Styela clava: one gene and its partners. The protein of the gene in region 2 interacts with the protein of the main gene of each other region in a pairwise test. Links are inferred from orthologs where the notes say so. Each region holds a gene or a part of one and is shown on either strand. Other genes may lie near its edges.

The links. The genes of interacting proteins can lie anywhere in the genome.
Region 1: the proteins of enhancer of filamentation 1-like (region 2) and paxillin-like interact in a two-hybrid assay, tested with the Drosophila melanogaster proteins (2 studies listed by BioGRID). The link is inferred for Styela clava from reciprocal best matches to the Drosophila melanogaster genes p130CAS and Pax.
Region 3: the proteins of enhancer of filamentation 1-like (region 2) and breast cancer anti-estrogen resistance protein 3 homolog interact in a two-hybrid assay, tested with the Drosophila melanogaster proteins (2 studies listed by BioGRID). The link is inferred for Styela clava from reciprocal best matches to the Drosophila melanogaster genes p130CAS and CG9098.

What each region holds. Positions count from the first base shown.
Region 1 is NC_135252.1:7,085,540-7,092,517, reverse strand, and holds the start of paxillin-like, read left to right. Parts: upstream 1-3,955; 5' UTR 3,956-4,237; coding exon 4,238-4,250; intron 4,251-6,978.
Region 2 is NC_135250.1:27,720,906-27,728,136, forward strand, and holds the start of enhancer of filamentation 1-like, read right to left. Parts: upstream 3,103-7,231; 5' UTR 3,009-3,102; coding exon 597-3,008; 3' UTR 1-596.
Region 3 is NC_135254.1:11,557,230-11,564,994, reverse strand, and holds the start of breast cancer anti-estrogen resistance protein 3 homolog, read right to left. Parts: upstream 3,024-7,765; 5' UTR 2,879-3,023; coding exon 2,867-2,878; intron 2,759-2,866; coding exon 2,541-2,758; intron 1,124-2,540; coding exon 382-1,123; intron 1-381. Other genes in the region: centrosome-associated protein 350-like, read right to left, coding at 4,731-4,934, 5,332-5,463, 5,936-6,067, 6,832-7,020, 7,428-7,535.

The DNA.
Region 1 (6,978 bases), on a different chromosome or scaffold from region 2:
TTAAATTTTGGTTACGGCAATTGTACTCAGGTACTTGGGCTACTTTGTGCTATTTTGTACGCCACACCGCCGAACCCCCTGTTACTAATATAACACTCTCTGAGTGGCATTCCCTTTCAAACTATTTTGAAACCATGAAAAGTACCGAGTCATAGAGCGAGCTGTAATCAGATAAATTCATTGCAATATCGTTATTCAATTCCTCCTCTTCAAATGATTTCCATCTATTATAGGCCTCCAGAATTACAGATACATTATATGATTGTATGATAGTTTATTATATCATGGTTTTCATACTTAGTTACATTCTTTATGGATACCGAATTATCAGGAGGGTGAGTCACATGTCAAAGTCATCATCATATCGATCTTCAATTCTTTCTCTCTTAAATTATTTTCATATATATATATATATAAATATATATAAATGTTATCATCTTTTAATTACTTAAACTATTTTCATATATATATAAATGTTATCATCTTTTACTTACTTTATTGGCCGTAATTTTCAACAACGTTTTTGTCCAGGACTTTAATCATGCCCGATCCTTACATTACGCACTGTGATATTCGTCAAGAAGACAGTTCCACCAATTCCGCGAGAAATAATGTACCGTTTCAAGACTATTGTCGGAGAGATCGTCAAAGCCAACTGTATCCTTGTACTGAAAATATCACATAACTGGTACTGTATCAATAGGCGTAGTCAGTGCGGGGGCCTGTGGGGCCATACCACCGCCACTCCCCAAAAAATCAACAATTTTGTTCAAACAGAATTTCGCGGCATTTGCAGTGAGATATAAATTCATAGCCCTCCTTTCCAACGCCATTTTGCTCTATTCCTAAACGATTTACTGAAACCGGACATTTCCTGGTTTGATAACAATAATCCTTTCACCAAATGAACCAAACACCAAGATAGATAAATATGCGCGCCTATATGTATTTGACAGCAAAGTACGTCAGTAGAGCAATTCTCGAAACGATCCTTACACATTCAGACGACACATTATTGTCACTTATAAAACTTTCAATTTCCCTGTGATCTTATCCCTTATATTTTATCGTGTGTAAGCACAAAAGAAGATTCAGAATATATTGAAAGTGTAAATTAATATACTAAATAATAATATATTTGGTATGGAATTCTTATTTTTTGCTCTTCTCTATTTAAAATTTATTTAAATAACTTCCTAGTCCCGATTAGATATTTATCTCATATCTAATCAGATATCATTTTTTTACATAGTGTATGTATATATTTTTTCCATATGTATATCTTGAGAGTGTAATATTACGGGATCTACATATTTATCCCGAGGGAGAGGAAAGCCGATAAGACGTCTTAATCATATGGCGAACCACGGCCTCTCGTCCGGTTACCAGGTCGGTATGGGATTAGTTAGCCAGTTATTTGTTTTCGGAAGCATGGACTTGTGTTATTAATTTATTTATTCATGTGCTTGCTTTAGCTGGTAACCGACTCAGATGACTGTTAATGGTCGTATCGTCACCACCAAGTCATCTACCGAAACCTAATTTTTCTCATTTTGCTATCATATATAACAGTGGCGGCGCGTGGTCATTTTGACAACCAGGGCAAGCTACTGCGGGACCAAGTCACCCCCATCTACGGGGACAAGATGAGCGCTGTAAGTTCGCCCATCATTTTATGAGTATAAAAACCATTCCATCGGTAACAACCAATCGGCAAAAGCGACAATTTTTAACGATAAGAAAGTGTCTTTAAAACCGGTCAAAGTCAAGGGATTAAAAAATATAGACATAGTTTATTTTGAAACCTCTTTCAAAAGGAAAGGCAATGTTTACCCAGATAAATACAATGACATATTAACAGAAACTTCGCGAAAGCAGACAAAACCTAAAATAAGGTTCAAAACGTTACTATGAAGAAAGGAAAGTTAATGCAAAGATAAGGACATGCGTCGCTCACTCATAGATATATATGCTGCTAGACTTCTACTGCTTGAACATATATGCAACACGCCGCGGTTTCTTGGAAGCAAAATGCTCAATAACGCGCTGATTAAAGTCATGCAGAAATAACGTCTCTGTGAATGGATAAAACAGCCAAGGAATTTAATCTATCTTGCTTCATTGTGTTTCTGAGATACGTTTTAATATGCTTCAGCGTGCTGAATGTTCGCTCTGCGTCGGCGGAAGAAATAGGCGTCGTCAAAATGATGTCCAAAAATTTTGCAGACGCCGCAAAGGTAGTTACTAGAGTGTTATCTATGAGGAACCCATAGAGCGCGCAAGTTGATGTGATGTTCAAAAAAGTTTGATTGGTGTATATACATCGCAATTCATTTTCCAATTTACCCACGTTTATCATGGGGTAAAATTTGGAGACAGTAGCCAACAAATGGATGGGAAATTGACGTGCAAATTTTGAAAAATTTTTGGGGTTCATCAAAGAGAACGCGGCAAGGTGTTCAGTGCGCAGACGATCGCCTATTTGATTCACCAGAATGTCACAGCATTCCTTTGCAGACAAAATCAAACGCTGCGTTGTTTGCCCGCGGCGTAAAGAAGCACTCCATGTGTCGTCGTATTTTATTGTTTCCCGGATACGAGATACAGCATCGCAGAAGTCTGAAATACACGACTGCACAGACGCTCCATCCATTAGCCTTTACTGCAATGCGCCGTATAATACATCCACGTGATAGAATATTGTGGAGAAAAAAGCGAGAAAAAATGAAAACTCACCATCTTCTAGCAGAAGCTTTACCCCTGCCGCCTCAATGCGTGAATATGTCAACACGTTGTTGTAAGAAACGTCGGCATTGTGTCGTCATAATTTCGGGGCTAGCCCCGATCGGCCCCGATGATTTAGTAAAAGAAACAGAAAACAAACGAGACAAACGCGGCGAGTGGAAGATAAGAGAGAATAATGAGCAACCGGGGCAAAATCGGCGTCGCCCCGTCGACGTTCGGCGAAGGCTTTGCGAGCGAAAAATGAACCATGTCGGGAGAATATGGCTAGTGTAGACTGTAGACAGTCTGTGCAACCAATATTGAGGTATTTTTCGAATATTTTTTATTATACCGAAAAAACAACCGGGGCATTGCCCCGGTTGGCCATATTGACGCGCCGCCACTGATATATATATATATTGTATGTGTTTTCTGGTTTGAAGAAACAATAAATTCTCTCTCTCTCTCCTAGGTACATTTCGATTCATCCGGGATCGTGATTTGTGTCATCACGTGGAGACGCTATAGAGCATATTGCAAAATTGTGTCTACTCTAGTAGTCGATGACAGCGGTGAATGTCAAATTCTTTATTACTAAGAGTTCGTATTTTCGGTTCTACGGCAAGTTTACATAATTACATTAATTGTGATAACAGGAAAGGTAGATAGTTTTGAACTAATTTGAAATCATGTATTTCGATAACCAAAAATATCATATTCATGAATCCAAATTGGCAATGGATTTTAATTTGGCCACCCCCCCAAAAAAAGTAGATAGATAAGTTGTTGTGTTTCACTTTTTTGTATAACTGCATCTGCATATCTATGTTTTATATTACTGTATGAATTAAAGAAAAGCGTACATACTGTACTGAAATATGAATGTAGGGTAACTTGACCGTTAGTTCTAATGCTACCATAAATTAATTCATATTTTTATATCTGACACAATTCTGAATGTTTTTCAATTATCAAATTATGAAATTGAAGTGCTACTCGATCGATTCTCACAAACTACAATTTTTTTAGGATATGTAACCTTATTAGTCAGTCCAGCATATACGGTAGTTACTGCATTGTCATACAGTCATAATATGAACTATCCGTGTCCTGTTCCTGAGCTATTCCTGTACCGGTACTGCGGAACTCATTCTTTTAACACAGTGACGTATTGACGGTACCAGTTCGCTAACGCTGTTCGTTTATCTAATAGTTTGTGTCCTATTTTCAGAATTTGAAAGCCATAGTCTGAGAGTGCTCACATAAACACAGTAACAACTTATTTCAGTACGGTATTTTATCATCAAGCAACATTCGAATATAGCGACAGATGAAAACGGGAACAGAAAATCTGTTTGAATCGTCTGCTTTCCTGTTTTTGGGGTAACAGCACTGCAATAACTTTGACTAGAGGAGCTGAGGATTGATTTGAACTAGCTCTTTGAATAAGTTTTTTGTTATTCAAAAATCTGTTTCACATTTGTGAAAAATTATACCATTTAAAAGTTGGGAGATGGAGGATTTAGGTAAGTGAAATTCATACATTCAATTTGCACTGGTCATACTTTTTGTCTTCTGCAATCTATGCTCGTGAGGACATAACAACTGAACAAGGGTGCACTGTTACATATTACACTGCTGTAGTCTGACAATGTATTACACTTTCTATTTATTATTTTTATATATATTTTGTGTGAGTGGTATACTCGGATAATTCTGTAGCAATTTGAATATTTATTCCTTTTATTTATTTATTAGTTTTACATTCACAGTAGTTAAAAAAACTAAAGTTGAGATTTATCAAGTTCGACCATAGCAAAGGTAAAAAACTAACATTTTTAATACTGCTCGAAACACAAAGACCATATGTCACAAAGTTAATATTATCAAACATACTTGGATTAAGTTGAGTAAACATTACCGCTATCATAATTATTAATTGCTTTCGGTATGTGGGTTATTACTTGTCAAATTATTAATTTATCAAAAAGGAAGTTATCAATTTTGTAGCTTCCTGCTTCTCTTGGTCAAGTAAACAGATTGAAAGGGACTTTTTGGTATGTCCTAGCACAGGGGTGCGGACCTATTTTAATGAATGGCTCAAAAATAGATTTTTATTATGCAACAGAAGACTGCGGTCATATATACTTAATCAATGTCTGTGTCAATCAGCTTTTGCATCTTTGACACAAGTCTTAAAAATCCTTGGTTGGTATTGTGTAGTTTTGAGCTTTACGAGTGTAGCACTTATATTAGAATTGAGGCGATTTTATGCAATTCGTGTTCGAAAGCACCAGTATGAATTACCAGAAAATGTTTTAGTTGTTAGTTCAAGTCTATAAGGCATAGTTTCCTAAACGTCATTGTGTACTAATAAAGAATAGACTGCATAGTGGCGTCTGCTCTTGTTGCCCACCCATACTCTTATATATATGTTTAAATGAAGATAACAAGATAATTAATTAGGTGGTTAATTAGGTACCAGTAACTTATAATTTAGATTTGTATTTATTCCTAAAACTTGTTTTGAATAGTTAACCTCATGTGTTTTGAAACTGATTCATTATGTACCGAGTACTGCAGAGAAAGTTGAGTCTTGATTCGAATATCATTTTCAATTATTATTGTCAACTTATTATATTCAAAGAGTCTTGTTGTTTTGAACAATATTTCACAAAAATTATATTCTCTTCTTGTCTGCTATCACTTGTGTGTGAGAAATAAGCAGTGATCAAACTGATTGCTTTTATAAACTATGAAGGAAAGTTTGACCTGTTTGACGGTGAACCTGTCAAGTCAATAATTATTGTAAAAAACATACTGAAATGCAAGTGATGAACATTTATAATAAAACTGGCCTTCATTCAATCTAACAATAAGTGAACTACTATAAATGTAGTTTACCTACAGTGGTGCAGCCAGGGCTGCGATTATAGGATGGAACCCACATCTCGGTATTAACCAGTCCCAAATTTGGAACTTTGTAACGACGAGCTACGTGTTACGCTCATTTACGAATGATAACAATATCATGCACATTGAACACTAAAAATAAAACAGAAGAGGATCATAAATTTTGTTTTAGGAGTTTTGAGAAAGTGAAAAAAGTTGTTTTAAGCACGCTAGTTTAGATACTATAAATCGCAAAGATTTTATGTACTGCACAGGAAATAAGAAACACTTACACCACGTGCAATGTGCATTTTCATATATTGTCGGTTTCATATTACCCTATTAAAATTACCACCACCAATTTATTCCAGAATAATCCAGATCCTGACAAAATGGGAACTATTTATTGGAAGATTTATTCAATCACTTTTCTATTTTACTTAAATGAATTGTATTCCTTGATTAAGATTCTAGTTGAGGTAAAAAGCTTTATTATTTAACGTAGTCGTTGTTTAGGTTGAATGCAAATGTTATAGAATTTCATTTTATGGGTTATTCCTTATTTACGGCTGTGGATCATATATTTTCCAAAGCAAAAAGGATCAATATCAGCTGAAAACGTTACCTTTTTTTACTATTGTTGTAATTGCTGTGATTGTCTCAAAATTCGCTGCAAGGGAATTACCACAACTTGGTATTGTTATTTTTAAAACCCCCATTTCGAATGGCCAGTCTGCACCCCTGTGTACTGTTTTTTTGGGAGACTACCCCCATTATCAATAATAAATACTAAACTCTCAATTCTCTCAATGGATAGATAGTATTAGATACTTCCTATTTTCATCCTTCCCTTATAGTCTTTTGAATACCCCTTTTTCTAACGTAAATTACTAGTATTGTCCAATTCATAAACTAGTGAATGAAAAATAAATAAAATGAAAAATCTTTTTTAAAAAGGGAATCTAAATATGAATTCCACTTATTTACGTAGTTGGCCCAAGTTTTTTTGAAATTATCCATAATTCTGAATATGAATACGAGTCTCGACCCACTACATATCATCTCCTGTTATTCGGAAGGACCTATTAATTACCAACAAAAATTTGTTATTGATTGATAATTGATATGAAATTTGATATTTCTCTAATTAACTAAGATCCTGTCGCGGACCCGGCAAAATACATGTAGGCTATATATAGCCTATAGTTACATTTTTAATAAAACCAGGGCAATCGAAAGTTCACATCTTTGGTTAAAACCGCTGTGTCTACCCATGCGACAGCCAAGTTATTTTGCAAAACAATATTGATATGACCGCAATATAACTCAGAACGTATGGGATTATTTTGTTTTTGCAAATGT
Region 2 (7,231 bases):
TTGAATTAATTTTAATACCTATTTGTAGACATGATGTGACTCTAAAAAATGTTATTTCATTGCTTTCCTCAACTAGGGAGAATATAGACACGACAGAAAAAAACCATGCACCGAATGTAAATTGACAAAAATATTCTTGATAAATCATTCAATTATGTTTGAAATAAAAAATATAAAACTGAAATGAAGGTTTTAAATTAGCACCACATGTTCCATAAAAATAAGACAAGTGATAGGTGCTAGACTTGTTGCGCAACGGTTTTGAGAATGGCACATATTTGACCTTGATTTACGGTAAGTCAAGTATAGGTATGCTACCAAGGGAAACGTACTCACATGACAGCTGTGAAGTCGGGGTTATACATTCAAATTAAATGACAAGTCGAAATTTCCCGGAGTTGGATATTTAGAAAGCATCAAGTTTACTAAGATGTCTCAATGCAAGTCTATTACGGTAATTGAAGTACCTTGCATATGCGATAGTTTGATATCAAAATTTGATTTTTTGAGCCGAAGTTGGAGTCAAGATTTTACAATCGCGAGTCCACAGCACTGATTTATACATAAAAAGTTTTAATTGCCACAATGATTTTTGCTCACCTTACAGAACACTGACTGAGTAAAATTCTAAATTGATGTGCTGATGCAGAAATGTCTGTGACTCTGTCAATCATTTCCTGCACTGCATTTACAGAAGGCCATTGCTGGGCTGCATTTTTAGTTGCCGCAACAGTTCGTTTTAATGAAGTACATATTTCTGTGCAATGTCCTTTAACTATATCTTGCATTTGTTGATGGTGTAACCGTCGATATAAAGTATCTCCAAAAAAGACAAGTTCGTGGGCGCAAAGAATAACTTGCTTGCTAAGTGCGACAAATGTTTTCGGCGGGTCGTTATTATCCAAACACGAGTAAAATCCTTTTATTGCTGATACAAGGCTTTCAACAAGAATTGGTAAATCTTCAACCATGTCTTGGAGAGTAAATTGGTCATTAGTTATTGAGTTATTCTCGTTTGTTTTACCGTTGATAATCTTGGGGACGCCATGTTGTTTATTACTCATTTCCAAAACTTGTAACACTTCGATATGTCGCGTTTTCACCTTTATTGAAACCTCGTTGATCACGCTTGAATTGCTGTTATTGAATGTACCATCTTGTATGGCTTGACCCTGGTCGTCCAATGCAACATAATCATAATCCTCAAGCCAGGAGTCTTCATCTGGTCTTGTGATAATAGTAGTGGGAGACCGTAGCTTTTGGGGAGGTAGATCTGGTAAAGGCCTTGTTTGAATAATCTGTTGTGCTTTGTAATTCTCAAAAGCAGTTGGAGGCCGTGTCTCCACTTTCTTGAAAAGGTATTGCGAGTGTGTGTGAATGAACGCAGCTATCTGGCGAGCATCGTCTGACACAGCACGGGATGTCATAACGAAGCTATCAATCTCATCAGGGACCCCGAAGTCTGGATCATTTGATACTACTTTACCAAGACTCCAATATGCTTGATCTAATGCAGTAAACGCTTGCTGTAACATTAAATTATCTTCTTCCAGAGGTTGCAAAAGTTTATGCATCCCTGTTATAAGAGCTCGGGGTAAAGTTACAGATAGACCTCGCTGCTGGGCTGCATTAGCATTAGCCATTGCTCCTCTTGCGAATTCAACATATTGCCCAACTGCTGATAGAACGACCTCGAAAACTCCTTTTATCACACCAATTTTGCCAGAAATGTTTTCTTTTAACCTCCAGCCTTCATAGACGTGGGTTAACAGCACCGAAACACTGTCTTCCAGAGACTGTTTCAATTTTATAAGTTGGTCAATGGCTGATGATAACTCCAGATTCAACTCCGTATAGTTGGCGTTCGCTGCAATAATACTAGAAAGAGAATCACTTGATGAAGTTGATTTACGATCATTTTTATATTCCGCTGAACCGACAAGAGATAGACGTTTGATGACGAGATCTAGTGACTCGTTTTCAGTCTGTTGTGAAGTTGATAACGGTTCTCGTGTGATTCGTGGCGGCACATCGTAAACATAGTCTTCAGATTCTTGTTTCAACAAGCTACGATTTCCAGGATGAAATTTTGAGTTTGTGCTAACGCTGCTCAAATTCAAACTCCCATCTGTGACATCACCAGCTGAACGATTAGATGATGGGACATCGTAAATTAAATCCGGTGAATCAAGACGATCGGAGCTAACCACTTTCGATGAAGGAGTTGAAGCTTGATACATTGGAATCAAACCGCTATCGACCGTATCTTGGCCAAACGGACGTGACGGAGGAATATCATATTCTTCTTCGTCTTCCTCTTGTTGTACGAGCATTGCACTGACATCTAGTGGTTCAGGCCCTGACATTTTATTAGACACGGGTACGTCGTATACTTCCTCGGGCTCTAAAGACCGATTTGGTGGCACATCATAAATTTCCGATGGATCATACTCACTGGTTATGTTGCTTATATTCGCAGGAGCGATTAGATTAGAAGGAACATCATAGACTTCTTGTTCAATTGTAACCGTCCGATGTTGAGGTGAAGACGTTAGTAAATTTTCATTGCTCAATTGAATGTTTGATGTATGCAATGTAGCATGAACTGGTGGGACATCATATACCTCATCAGGGTCAAGATCGAGTTCCGGTCGTGACCCGAAATGCCTCGAAACCGGGACATCATAAACATCATTAGGGTCATTATTATTGTTATTCTGATTATAATACTGGTGAGTTGGGATATCGTATTCTTCATCTTCCACATTTATCAAAGGTTTTTCCAAAACAGTTTGTTGCGAAATACCTTGCATTAAGGGCATCAAGCGTAAGCGATTCCCCGGTGCAATGCCTTTCCGGCCATTCAAAGAACAAAGCCACCATCCATCAATTCCTGCAGTATTTTGCTCGATAACTGTAACAATATCTCCGCGATGGAAATTAAGTTCATCCTCTGTCTCTGCCAAATTATCATACAATGCTTTTGCAAGAATGTTGCCAGCAGTCATTTTGCAATTCAAATTTTAAAATGGATAGGATATTAAAACCTATATAATTTACATTTTAGCCAAACTATACAGAAAAAATAAGTTTTGAATCAAGTGTAAACATTTTTTTCTTAGTCCTGTAGACAGGAGTCAAAAATACGGTAACGAAGAGGACAATGAAACACAGCGGTTTTTATTGGTCTATGTTCAGTTTAAAATATGTTTGCCATCCGTAATTTTGAACTAGAATTTAGCATAGACAGTAAGCCACAGTTCTCTGATTCCAAGATGTCCCGGCATTTAGTTTACTAAAACAATCACGGAGAAACAATCATCTCAGGAGATACCGTACCGGTACATGACTTGTGTCGTACCAGTAACATAAGGGGGTGGAGGCTAACTCGCCATGAGGGCTAACTCGCCATGGACCACTCGCCATGCGACGGCGGTTAACGGGTTAGCCTGCAACTGTGTGGAGGCTCTTCTTGTAATGGGAGATGGAAAGGTGGCTGTTTATACTAACAACTTCAATAGTAAGGATAAATATATTAAATTAAATGTGTTTGGTTACAATACCTACTGTGCAAATGGTAACAAAGTGACAAGAAAACGTGCTTATATGTCGGAAGGCATACCGGTACCGTACGGTACTCGACGCGCAAAGGATGTCTCAACTTATCATTTTCATCTAAGCATGCTAAATATATCATCATATTAATTGATTGTATGAGCTCTGAATAACCAACAACGCTAAATATATCAAAAGTTCTATTTTGCTACCGGCAGTCTCATTTTATTCTAACAGCCGTTGATTGCGAGCAGAGAGGGAGAGAGAGAGCTAACTCGCCATGTCTATTTTCTTTATAATTGACGATCGACATCGCGAGTTCGAGAGAGAGAGAGGGCTAACTCGCCATGTCTTTATTCTTTATAATTGACGATCGACATCGCGAGTTCGAGAGGGCTAACTCGCCATGTCTTTATTCTTTATAATTGACCATCGACATCGCCATTTCGAGAGAGAGAGAGAGAGCTAACTCGCCATGTCTTTATTCTTTATAATTGACGATCGACATCGCGAGTTCGAGAGAGAGGGCTAACTCGCCATGTCTTTATTCTTTATAATTGACCATCGACATCGCCATTTCGAGAGAGAGAGAGAGAGGGCTAACTCGCCATGTCTTTATTCTTTATAATTGACGATCGACATCGCGAGTTCGAGAGAGGGCTAACTCGCCATGTCTTTATTCTTTATAATTGACCATTGTTACCATTTGCACAGTAGGTATTGTAACCAAACACATTTAATTTAATATATTTATCCTTACTATTGAAGTTGTTAGTATAAACAGCCACCTTTCCATCTCCCATTACAAGAAGAGCCTCCGCACAGTTGCAGGCTAACCCGTTAACCGCCGTCGCATGGCGAGTGGTCCATGGCGAGTTAGCCCTCATGGCGAGTTAGCCGTCAGCCACATAAGGTACCGTACCGGTACTGGTGGTGAGCGTATTCCTGACACCTAGCACAGTCAGACAGTAGCATGATCCGCCACACCCTGATACTGCTGAGCTTGTACCGTACCGTAAATTATCTCCGACTCAATAGCCCTGGTTTGGAGGGAATATTCATTTTCACGAGGAGGAAGTCTTTACTATATAATCAAACTGTTCACAATCTTTCCACTACTTCCTTTTTTCTCTGGGCAGCTAGGAGGAAGAAGATGAAAAGCCAAATTGACAGCCACCGCCCACCAGACCGGTACCGGTACCGTCAGACCGTACTGGCAGTCTATAAAGAAAAAGTATAAGAACCGATCGGCTGATAGACTAGTGCAGTAAAACAGACAACTAATTCACTTTCTACGGCATTTACATTACGGTACATACTTATATTCAGGCTACCGGTGTCTACTAACAGACTAACACACCAAAGGCGTGAATCTGTCCTAGACTGCTAAAAAGTGCACGAAAGTAGGAGGAAAAGCAGGCGGCCAGCGTTACTGAAATCAGCGTACAAAATCAGACTTTTAAGACTGCTCTTTAGCGAAGCCTAACGGCGACTACCTTTAATTCACTCTGGGAAAGAGAGGTCAAATCTTGTGACGGGTACGGTAACTTTTATTTACAAGGATGTTATTTTTTCTATGGCATAAATATCGCACTCAAGATTAACAACATGTTCAATTTTGGTTTTACTACAAAGACTTTCAACCAAGTAGCACTACTCAGTAAACCTCGGTGACAGCAATCTAAGTTTGGTCCACACAATCTGTGAACCATTCTAGTAAAGTGTTGTTGCTAACCAAAAAAATGTTGCTTAGCGCTTCAACCTTTCAAACTTTTTATATATGATAAAAAGTGTTTATAACTGTGAAAAAACTATTGCAACTAGAAAATGTAAATTGTCGAACCACTTAAAGAGGTGGCAAGTTATCATAAACTCATATTTTTAAGTGCAATTGGATTTATGTGTTATCGTGTGTGAAAAAGTGATGTTTTTATTAAAAAAAAACTCAAACTATATATAGAGTATACTACAATTCAGCTACTGAACAGTGTTAGCATACAACATTAAAATTGTGGAGAAGTGGAAATGAATGATTTACTTATTTGGCACGGTTGACAATTACCGACTTTCATACGACTCATCAGGGCATGACGACTGCTGCCAGGACCACTTTTTGGGGGGATGCTGCGATTTTGCAGTGTATTCTCATGTGGTTGGGCGGTAGATGATCCAAGAGATGCTGTACTAGAGATGCTGTAGGTTTTTTGTAATATGTCAGTGTTTTAAGGTACACGATAGACTAGTTTGACACGATATCCGTCCTCTGACGATACTGCAGTACCGGTATGAGTGCACCACTAGCAGGTACGGTACCGGTACTCAACCCAAACGACAAATAGACCGTGGTACTGTGCATGCAACTTAACATAAGTTAAGTAAGTATTAGATTTATAATAATAAAAAGACTGTTGAAGCAACATTTACGCACAGCGAACTTTTCGAAGCAGGTACAATGGTTGAGACTACGGGAAATCCCGGGATTTGGACTGTTTTTTTCAATCCGCATTCCGCAATCATTTCCAAAAAATCCCGGGATTATAAGATTTTGTTATCCACATATAGATATTCTCACAAATGGTTGGGTATACCATTTTATTTAATACTTATTTTGAAAAATAACCATTCACGCTTACAGTTTGAGTGGAAGTGGAATTATTGTGCGAAATTTTTCGCAAATTGTACAAAGAAATTATTATTTGACTAGTAGAATTGCCATTATTGCCGACTTATTTAATCATAATTTGAACTCAAAATAGCATTCAGTATTCACGCAATGACTTTGCTGGGCTTTTATTCTTTATTTAATACGTAAATAAAGCAATCACACTTTAGAAAAGTAAAATCAAAAAGGTGAACTATCGTCTTCATAAATATCCGCATTCCGCCGTCAGAAATGATAATATATTTAGCTTAAAATTGGGAAGGTTAATTTACAAACGATGACAAGAAAGATCAAAGGCGACTCAGAAGTTAAAAATCGGAATAAAACCCCCAATTCAACCCGATTTTCGACAATTATTCGATTTCGACAAATTATTCGATTCAATGAAAATATACTATTTTGACCACCCTTGTGATCTGTAATCATGCCAGTAATCTGGCGAAACGCGAGGTAATCCAAACACTGATGCAATGAAACTTAATAAAACCTTCATAAATGTAGTAAATTGCACTACTTCACGAAAGCGTGGTGGAATGGACAATTATTTCATATATCGAACACAAAAATGGTTATCTTTTTCGGATAGTTTTTGCGGTCTGTAAAGTCGAAAAAGCGTTTCGACATAGTAAATGATATGATCTTTGCCATCAAATTATGCTTGGGCCTTGCACACGAAATTCATAACGTGAAATGATACGTATAGCTGTGAAAATTGTTTATAACAACTTTAAACCTATTTAGTATTTTAAGGCTTTAAGCGATAATAATTAATTGTTGTAATGAAATACAGTTTGTTTGCCACTTTCATTTCTCTCGCGACTGCCGACAATAACACGAAAATAATTTTGGCAATGGGAGAAACATTGAATTGTAACAAAAATGAATTAGGTTGTGAAAAAGTGAGAACACATGCGATAATAATAAGGGCGTAACGTTGAAGGGCGTGCAAAACCGAAGCGCGTGGTTAGCGGTGCGTTAGAAGAGACCGTATTATAAGTACGGCCGCGCAACTTT
Region 3 (7,765 bases), on a different chromosome or scaffold from region 2:
ACTTCCAGTTTAAAATTATAATTAGTCAGAGAAAGACATCCAGAGATATAGCAGAAATGAATAAATAATTTCTGACAGACTCGAAAAATTTTCAACATATGACCCGATAAAAAGAATTTTACTACAGAATGATTTATTATTAATTCAAATTTAATTCAAACGTATTAAACTATTATGACCAGATATAAGAAACAAAGAGAATAACAAGTTACTAATACATTGACATTCTTTATTAACTTTAAACTTTTTTACCTTCTTGGAGTATTGATAAAAAAAAAAATTTAAATTCATTAGTGTTGGCCCATTGGTTTTAAAGCATTAGACTACTAAAAATTAATGGCAGTACAAGTTGAAATCTCGGGTTGATGTAAAAAAAAATACCTGAAAATTGAATTTAGAGTTGTTGTTATTCATATTATGAGAACCAGGAAGTGCACGACTTTTAAGATTTGAAGGACTGAGCATTGGATCAGATCCTGATCTCGGGACATTCTGTCCATGATTCTTGATGCTCAAATCCACCTGACTCGTTGGTCGATTTGTGACTGGATTCACAACACAGATCTGTGCCTCATTATCCTTTTGCCTTTGTATTGGAGATGTAACATTCTCCTTGTTATCAAAAATATTTAAAGGAAATGGGCTAGAAGTATTACTATATCCAGGAGACATAGGATAATTTGAATTCGGAGAAGTTTGTCCGTTATAATTGATAACTCCACGATCTGGTAGATTTGGTAATGGGTCACTTGTTTTTCTTTGATGGGGTGGAATCTGTGATACAGGACTTCTTACAGCAGGAGTCGGCTGCTGAGCTGCATTCATTATACCATCAGGTGATCTCGTAGTTGAAACAACTTGTGTTGCATTTCCTTTAGGTTGGCGACGCAGTGAAGCATATTTTACATCAGAGTATGAGACAGGCACTGATCTATTCACTGGTTGTCCCAATATGACGCCTGTTCTTTTGGAAACTGGTAGTTTCTGTTCCACATAATAATGCACAAGAGCTGGAAGTGATTCGAATGAATGCTGTTCTAAGCAATACTGAGTAGTTGAATATGTTGTTGTATGTTGAACAGTAATCTTATTGATTTTGAAATGGTAGTATGCACTTTTGTACCTGAAAAGTAAGAAATGAGATTACTTTATGGGGCCAAATATTTCTTCCAACTGATTGTAGATTTGCATAAAATATAATATCTGATATTTCTATCAAATTATCACTCATGATAAAGGTGGTAGCTATTATAAGAGCAATTTTTAACTAAAAATTACCAATCAATTTGCAGCATTTTAAAATTTATTTAACTAACGAATTATTCAATTTATCAGCTCTTAAATAAAGATGAGAATAAAGAGGTCTCTAACGGGCTATTTTCCTATTTTTGGCTTCGTTCAGGCATTTTGTAGGAACTAGTATTTCATCAAAACATATGTTGTAATATTTTAGTTATATCAATTTACCGCACATCCTCACATATAAGCATATCTCGCATATGAGCCGACCGATCTCGCATAGAGCCCCTGATAATGGCCCTAAAACGATGAATTTATAAAAATTCGCATATAAGCGGACCCTACAAATCGTAACATGCCCTAAGCACCTATCACAGCAAATGGTTGCAGAAGAGATAAGATGATAATGATAAGAACTAATCATTCTTCTTCAAATGAACTTTGTGGAAAACGAAGGCATTTTTCGAATCATCATGCAAGTCACACACACACAAGTTGATATAAACCTATTTGTGAGCTTCATTATTGAAAAGAAAAACAAGTTTTTTCTTTATTTTATTTTAAATTTATCAGCAGTTTGCAAAATTTTTCATCCAGCTATTCTGGAACTAAGTTCCACTCCCAAAAGTGAGATGTTTCCGAATTCCTATAATATTTCCAAATTGAAAACTCTCTAATCCCAGTACCAAGTTACACCCAAGTGTGAAATCCTATGTAAACATTTCAGGTCAATCACTAACATCATGCTAGGAATTTGGCAAACAAACAATTAATATTCCTGTAGTAAATACGGTAATAGGCGGGTTATAGGCAGTGATCCAAAATGTATATATTTTTTGCTTCAACACATTTGGTACAGATGCATCTTTAGGCATTATCATTATAAAAATATTAATTTGGAAATCATTTGACTATCTGAGTTTCCGAAAAATTGTAATTTCAATAATCTGGTTGACTTATGATGCCTTCATTTATTTGTCTAGCAACTTGTTTAATACATTACCCATATTTATTGTAAAGCGTTACATGTATGCTGTATGTCGTTTAAATAGATCAATATTAAATCACATACCTATGTTCCATACCTATTTGCTTCCTATTAATTACTATTTATGTAGAATAATAAATTTAAATTTTGATAAAATTTCCAGACCAAGCGACACGAATAGCCTACCATACTTGGTCCATTTTAATTTTTTATATAATTATGATGTTTGAAAAATAATGTTTGACATTTTGTGTCTAATAGCAAACGTTAGACAGCAATTTTCCCTATTTATGATAAAGTAAATTGGACTCACTTGGACGAGAGAACATAATCTCCGACACTAGTTATTGATTCACGAACAAGAAAATCTCCATCTTTCATGACTAAATCTTCAGCAACGTTTCGAGGAACTTTACCATGAAACCAAGCATAACTACGAATATCTGCGCTTCCAGATCGAAGTTCATTATTGAGTTTTTCAAGTAAAATTTGTGGCGAAACATCCTCATCCAAGATTGCGTTAAGAACCAACTGAAAAAAACATTTCAACACCAGTCGGTAAGGTACCGGCAACTCCACATGCACCTTACCTAGATACTGTAAAGATACTAGGGTTTTATCTGCAGTCTACATACTCACCTCTTCATACATAGTTCTGCTCCTTCAAGTCGGCTGCGGCTCTCAGCAATCAAAAAACTTTTGCGCAAAGGTTACAGCAACAGCGTACAAGTTGCGGTCACGGAGTCAAGGTAAAAGGGTGGGCATATCCGACTTCTACCGTATATCCTTTTGTTTTGATTTTTCGGTATTTTAAAACAAAAATAGTAGAAATTAATAAAATTGAAATGACCTAACATGTAATGATATTTTCATATTTATCCCGGCTTGGTGGAGAAGACGACAATATGAATTACTAATATGGCGAACCATAGCCACTCTTCCGGTTACATGTCTCTGACAGGGAATGGCCCAGTTATTTGTTTCATATGCATTGACTTGGAAATATAATTGCGAAGAAATTAAGTGTACCTTGTAAAGATACCAAAATTGTTGGAAATTATCAGCGGAACAATTAAGTTAATCAAAAATGTCGTAACTTTCACATATTATTTCTGATCCAGGGGGTTAGAATTTTTGGACTGTGAGACTTGCTGCTCTATGAATACAACACTACCAAACTAGTTGACCACCAGAAAATCAGATTTTGCCAGTAATGGTTAGGAAACGATTAAAATATAAACTTTCCTTACTGTTCACTCATGTTTAGAAAATCGATCAATTCGGCACTGGCGACCATTACAAATTGATTAATAGGTTGTGGTAGGTAATTTTTCATTTTCAATATTTTTGATTACCGTGCAATTTGTTTTAAGTTCATGGCGTTTTTACTTAATAATTTCTGTATGGCTGAATGTGCGTGTGTGAAATACCTTTAGGTAAGTCAACACGTATGGAAAAATCTTCCATCTTATATTCTGTACGTTCTAAACCCTATTTAAGTTTTTGTTTGCTATTCTAACTCACTTACAGATTTTACTTGTTTCCATCAATCAATTTAATGCCTGTTATGCTGATTATGTAGTCAAAAACTCATACATACAGTATCTGGTGATCATCAAGGTGAGAAGACCTGACACATTGTAATGCAATACTATATAAAATTACCGCGCTGTCTGGAATGTCGCCATATCCTATGCTTGCGCTAGTTCCCAGAGACTGAAACAATCAATATATACAAAGTTGTCCGGCATAACTTCACCAACTGCATAACATATGACTAAGGATATCCTTGTTAAACATGAAATTCGCACTGCGCAGACGTAGTACTACGCAAATCTAGCACTTTTTTTGGTGTGCCGTACCCAGCATTCTAATTTTGCAACAAACTATTTTCCCAACGCAGCTTCCATTGAAGTTTAAAATCATTTTCAGTAACAAACCTTGTAACAGTTGTACAAAACTATATTAAAATTCATACAAATTTTGACACATACAGGCACTGTATAAAATGTTTAAGCGATAATAAAGCAATGAACCAAATAATAGTTTCAATAACATATTTCTCAAATCTAGGCATACAAAAAAATCTTCTAACTATGAAGCCAAAGCCTTTATGAAAAGATAAAAACGTGATCTTTGTAACAATCGTTACAAATGATACAGATGAGCTATTTATACAAAATGATCTCTCTCACAGTGAAAATTGGATGAAGAACTCTAGAATGGGTTTTACTGAGATAGCCACGCTAAACATATTTGTTCATCATAGTATGGGTCAAAGGTTAAGCTAGATATTTTTGGACCAACCTTGTGTTGAAGGAATTCATAAGAACGTGCATTCAAGTTTAATTGTACAGTTTCGCATTTTTATACCTGAATGTATTTGTGACCTTTTTTTGCGTTTCTGATCAGAATCAGTTTTAATGTAGTATAAACGCATGCTACGGGTCCTACGCATTATCATAAAGTTATTTTTGACACTGTAATATTCCAATTGAAAAATTCACAGGCTGCGTTCTTCTGGATCATGGTCGTTATGTTCATCTTTAGTTTTCCTATCTGTTACTTTTTGTTGGATGTTATTCAGACAATGTACAGTGTCTGAAACCAACATGTCTAAAACAGTATCAGTCAACTGCATTTTTACTGTTGTTTCGTCTTCATCATAATTCGTCCATTCAGGTTCTTCCTCCCTGAGTTCTTGAATCTGAAAATCAATAAAAACTAATATGAAAAACGTTAAATTAGGGTCAGAACCAACTTGAGAGTCAATTGAATACCATATTGTGAAGTCAACAACGAGTCAGTTGGTTCTTCAGAGCACAAATGTACAAAAGTCAAATTAAATATTGTAAATTATCTAGATTCTAAATAACCTAATAAATAGACTTTTAAGAATTCTTTGTCAAACTTGGCCAACTTGAAAAGTATATTTGAAATTTCCATATTTGAAAATATTACGGTAGTTCAAATTAATACGTTTCAGTAATCCCTGTTATTATTAAGCAGCCATTATGTGTCATTTGATCCTGAAGCAGAGGTCATTTCAGGGTAAGAGGAAGAGAAAAAGATGAAGCCTTCAACCAAACAATTATCCATATTACCAAGATGAGATCGACTTTATCCTTCTTTCTTCGACTGCCCCACTTCATTGTTATCTTTGGATCGAGTTTCTGAGGATCATTGCTCAAATTTAACAGTTTGGAAACCTGCTTGCTGACAATCTTCACAATCTCCTAGAATAAAATAATCGGCAATAAGAATAGAGAGGATCACTATGACAATCAAAAACTATACCAGCATTGCCTAACCTGGGGGTAATTTTTTCGTTTTAATTTTTTTTTTGGGGGGGGGGGATCTGAAGCAAAAGCCATAAAAAATGATGGCGAATACACTAATCTAATTTGACTTCCAATCGGATATTCGTTGTGAATTATCTACTATTTCGCCAAACATTGAACAGCCAGTTGACAATGAACAAAGACAGCCGTAAGAAACTTTGCTAAAATAGTAGAAAGTGCTAAACAGGTTAACAGCCATTGAATTATAAAGAAAGTAACTTTCAGAAAGTTAGCAGATTTTTGCTGTAATTAAGACAGCAAGCGAAGTTTTGTAATATGTGATCAATTTTACACAATCACGAGGTATAAACTCATAATACATGAAATTTTCACAGGACAGAAAAATTGTTAATAGACTTATATTTACATCCTCAGTTTCTGGCATCCTTCTGCAATATGATGGCCGACATACTGTCTTCTTTTTAAGCCATAATGGTCGTTTCAAGTTTTCCTCAGTTGAAGATTTGATGTTATATATTTCGGTGATCAATTCTCGAACCTACAATAGGATGGATAGAGTATATTATCAGTCTTTTAAAGAATTGCAATCTAAGAGACAGAGTTTGTCAAGCAATCATAACCTTAATGTTATTTCCCAGTAAACCTTGGTACGAATATGTAAAAACCCATTTCATTAACAAGACTCGCATAATATAAGTAATTTGAGAATTTCAAAAGGCATATATATACAGATCTCCTTTCATAAATCTGAAAACATTGTATTGCAAAATACCAGCAGTAAGTAAGATGTAACTGCACATACGTTACCACAACATCGAAGGGCAGACATTTATTGTATAATAGAGACAGATTTAATATTGCGCAATAGTATTCGATTATTCGGTTCGATTCGGCAAAAATATTCGATTCGAATCAAAAAAGTATTCGATTTTGGACAGCCCTACTTGTCATACTAAATGAGTTGCAATTTCAAAATTTCTTGAGCCAGAAGTTAAAATTTCAAAAAGCAGTAACCTGACTGAGCGTTTTCGAAGGGCAATTAAAGAAGACTTGCAGCGGGAGTCAAAGTCAGAATTTATTTAAATTAGAATTCAAGAGAGGAAGTCAAATAATTTTTATCAACTCAGGAATGTCGGGTGTATTTTTCCCATACTGTTTTACCTACCTGAATTTCACTCCAGTAAAACTACTTCACAAAATTTTGAAACAGTCCACCCTGAAAATATCTACTGGTATAGTGTCTACGAATACTGTGACTGGGCCAATCGCATTCTCACGAAAGCCAGCAGTAACCAAAATTACCATGTCGAAGAGACTTGTCTTGAATATGTGATCTGCGTTTAGATCGGCTTCTTTCTTTTCCTCATCAATTTCTTTATCGGAATTTTCATCTTTGGAAGAATCATCGGATGAAACGTTGAAAAGGAAATCAGGAATTTGAGTGTCTGTTAGCAATTCTCCTCCAAGAAACTTGGAATAATAGTAGTTTGTCTGAAAATAAGAGTTATTTTCTTTACTCTAAAAACACGGTAAAGACATAACCAGTCAAGAATGCAGGATTTGTCTGCAGGGCTGTGGTATCCTAGTTTGACAAGTTTTTATTGATATTGTACTCAAAGCTGTATTATCAAACTGAAGGAATTTTTTTTAATTCTGTCCGGTCTAGATTTTATTCTTCTAATGGTAATAATCCGAGTCTAAATTTCAGACAGAAAGTTAAGGGAGGTATGTGAAGTGGGACTCATAGGTTTTCTTTGCAAATGAACACTAAATAGTCTTTAACCGCAGTTATGGAATATTAGGTTGAGCATAGAAATCTTCATCAAAATAAATAAGATTTTACACTGATTATATTTAAAAACTGATAATTAGTCGATAGAAGACATGACACTACTTACTGCTTCTTTCACAAGTTTTAGTATAACTTCAGGTTTATGAGGAACAACAAATTTTGGAGGTGGAACAGGTTCTGTCCGTCCAGACAATACTTCAATAAGACGACCATCCTGTAAGACAATTTCAAAATAGTAAACAAGCAGAAGTCCAGAAAGTTTTAAAAAAAAAGCTCTTTACATATCGTTAGATACCATGGACACTTATCCAGAGTCTTTTTGAGAGAGAAAGACATAAAAAGTTATCTCCCATGCGATTAGAACCTGCGCTACAACAAGTGCATTTCTAAATGTTGTTGTCAGTATATAGCAGTGTTAATAATCAGCAAATTAATTACAAGTTA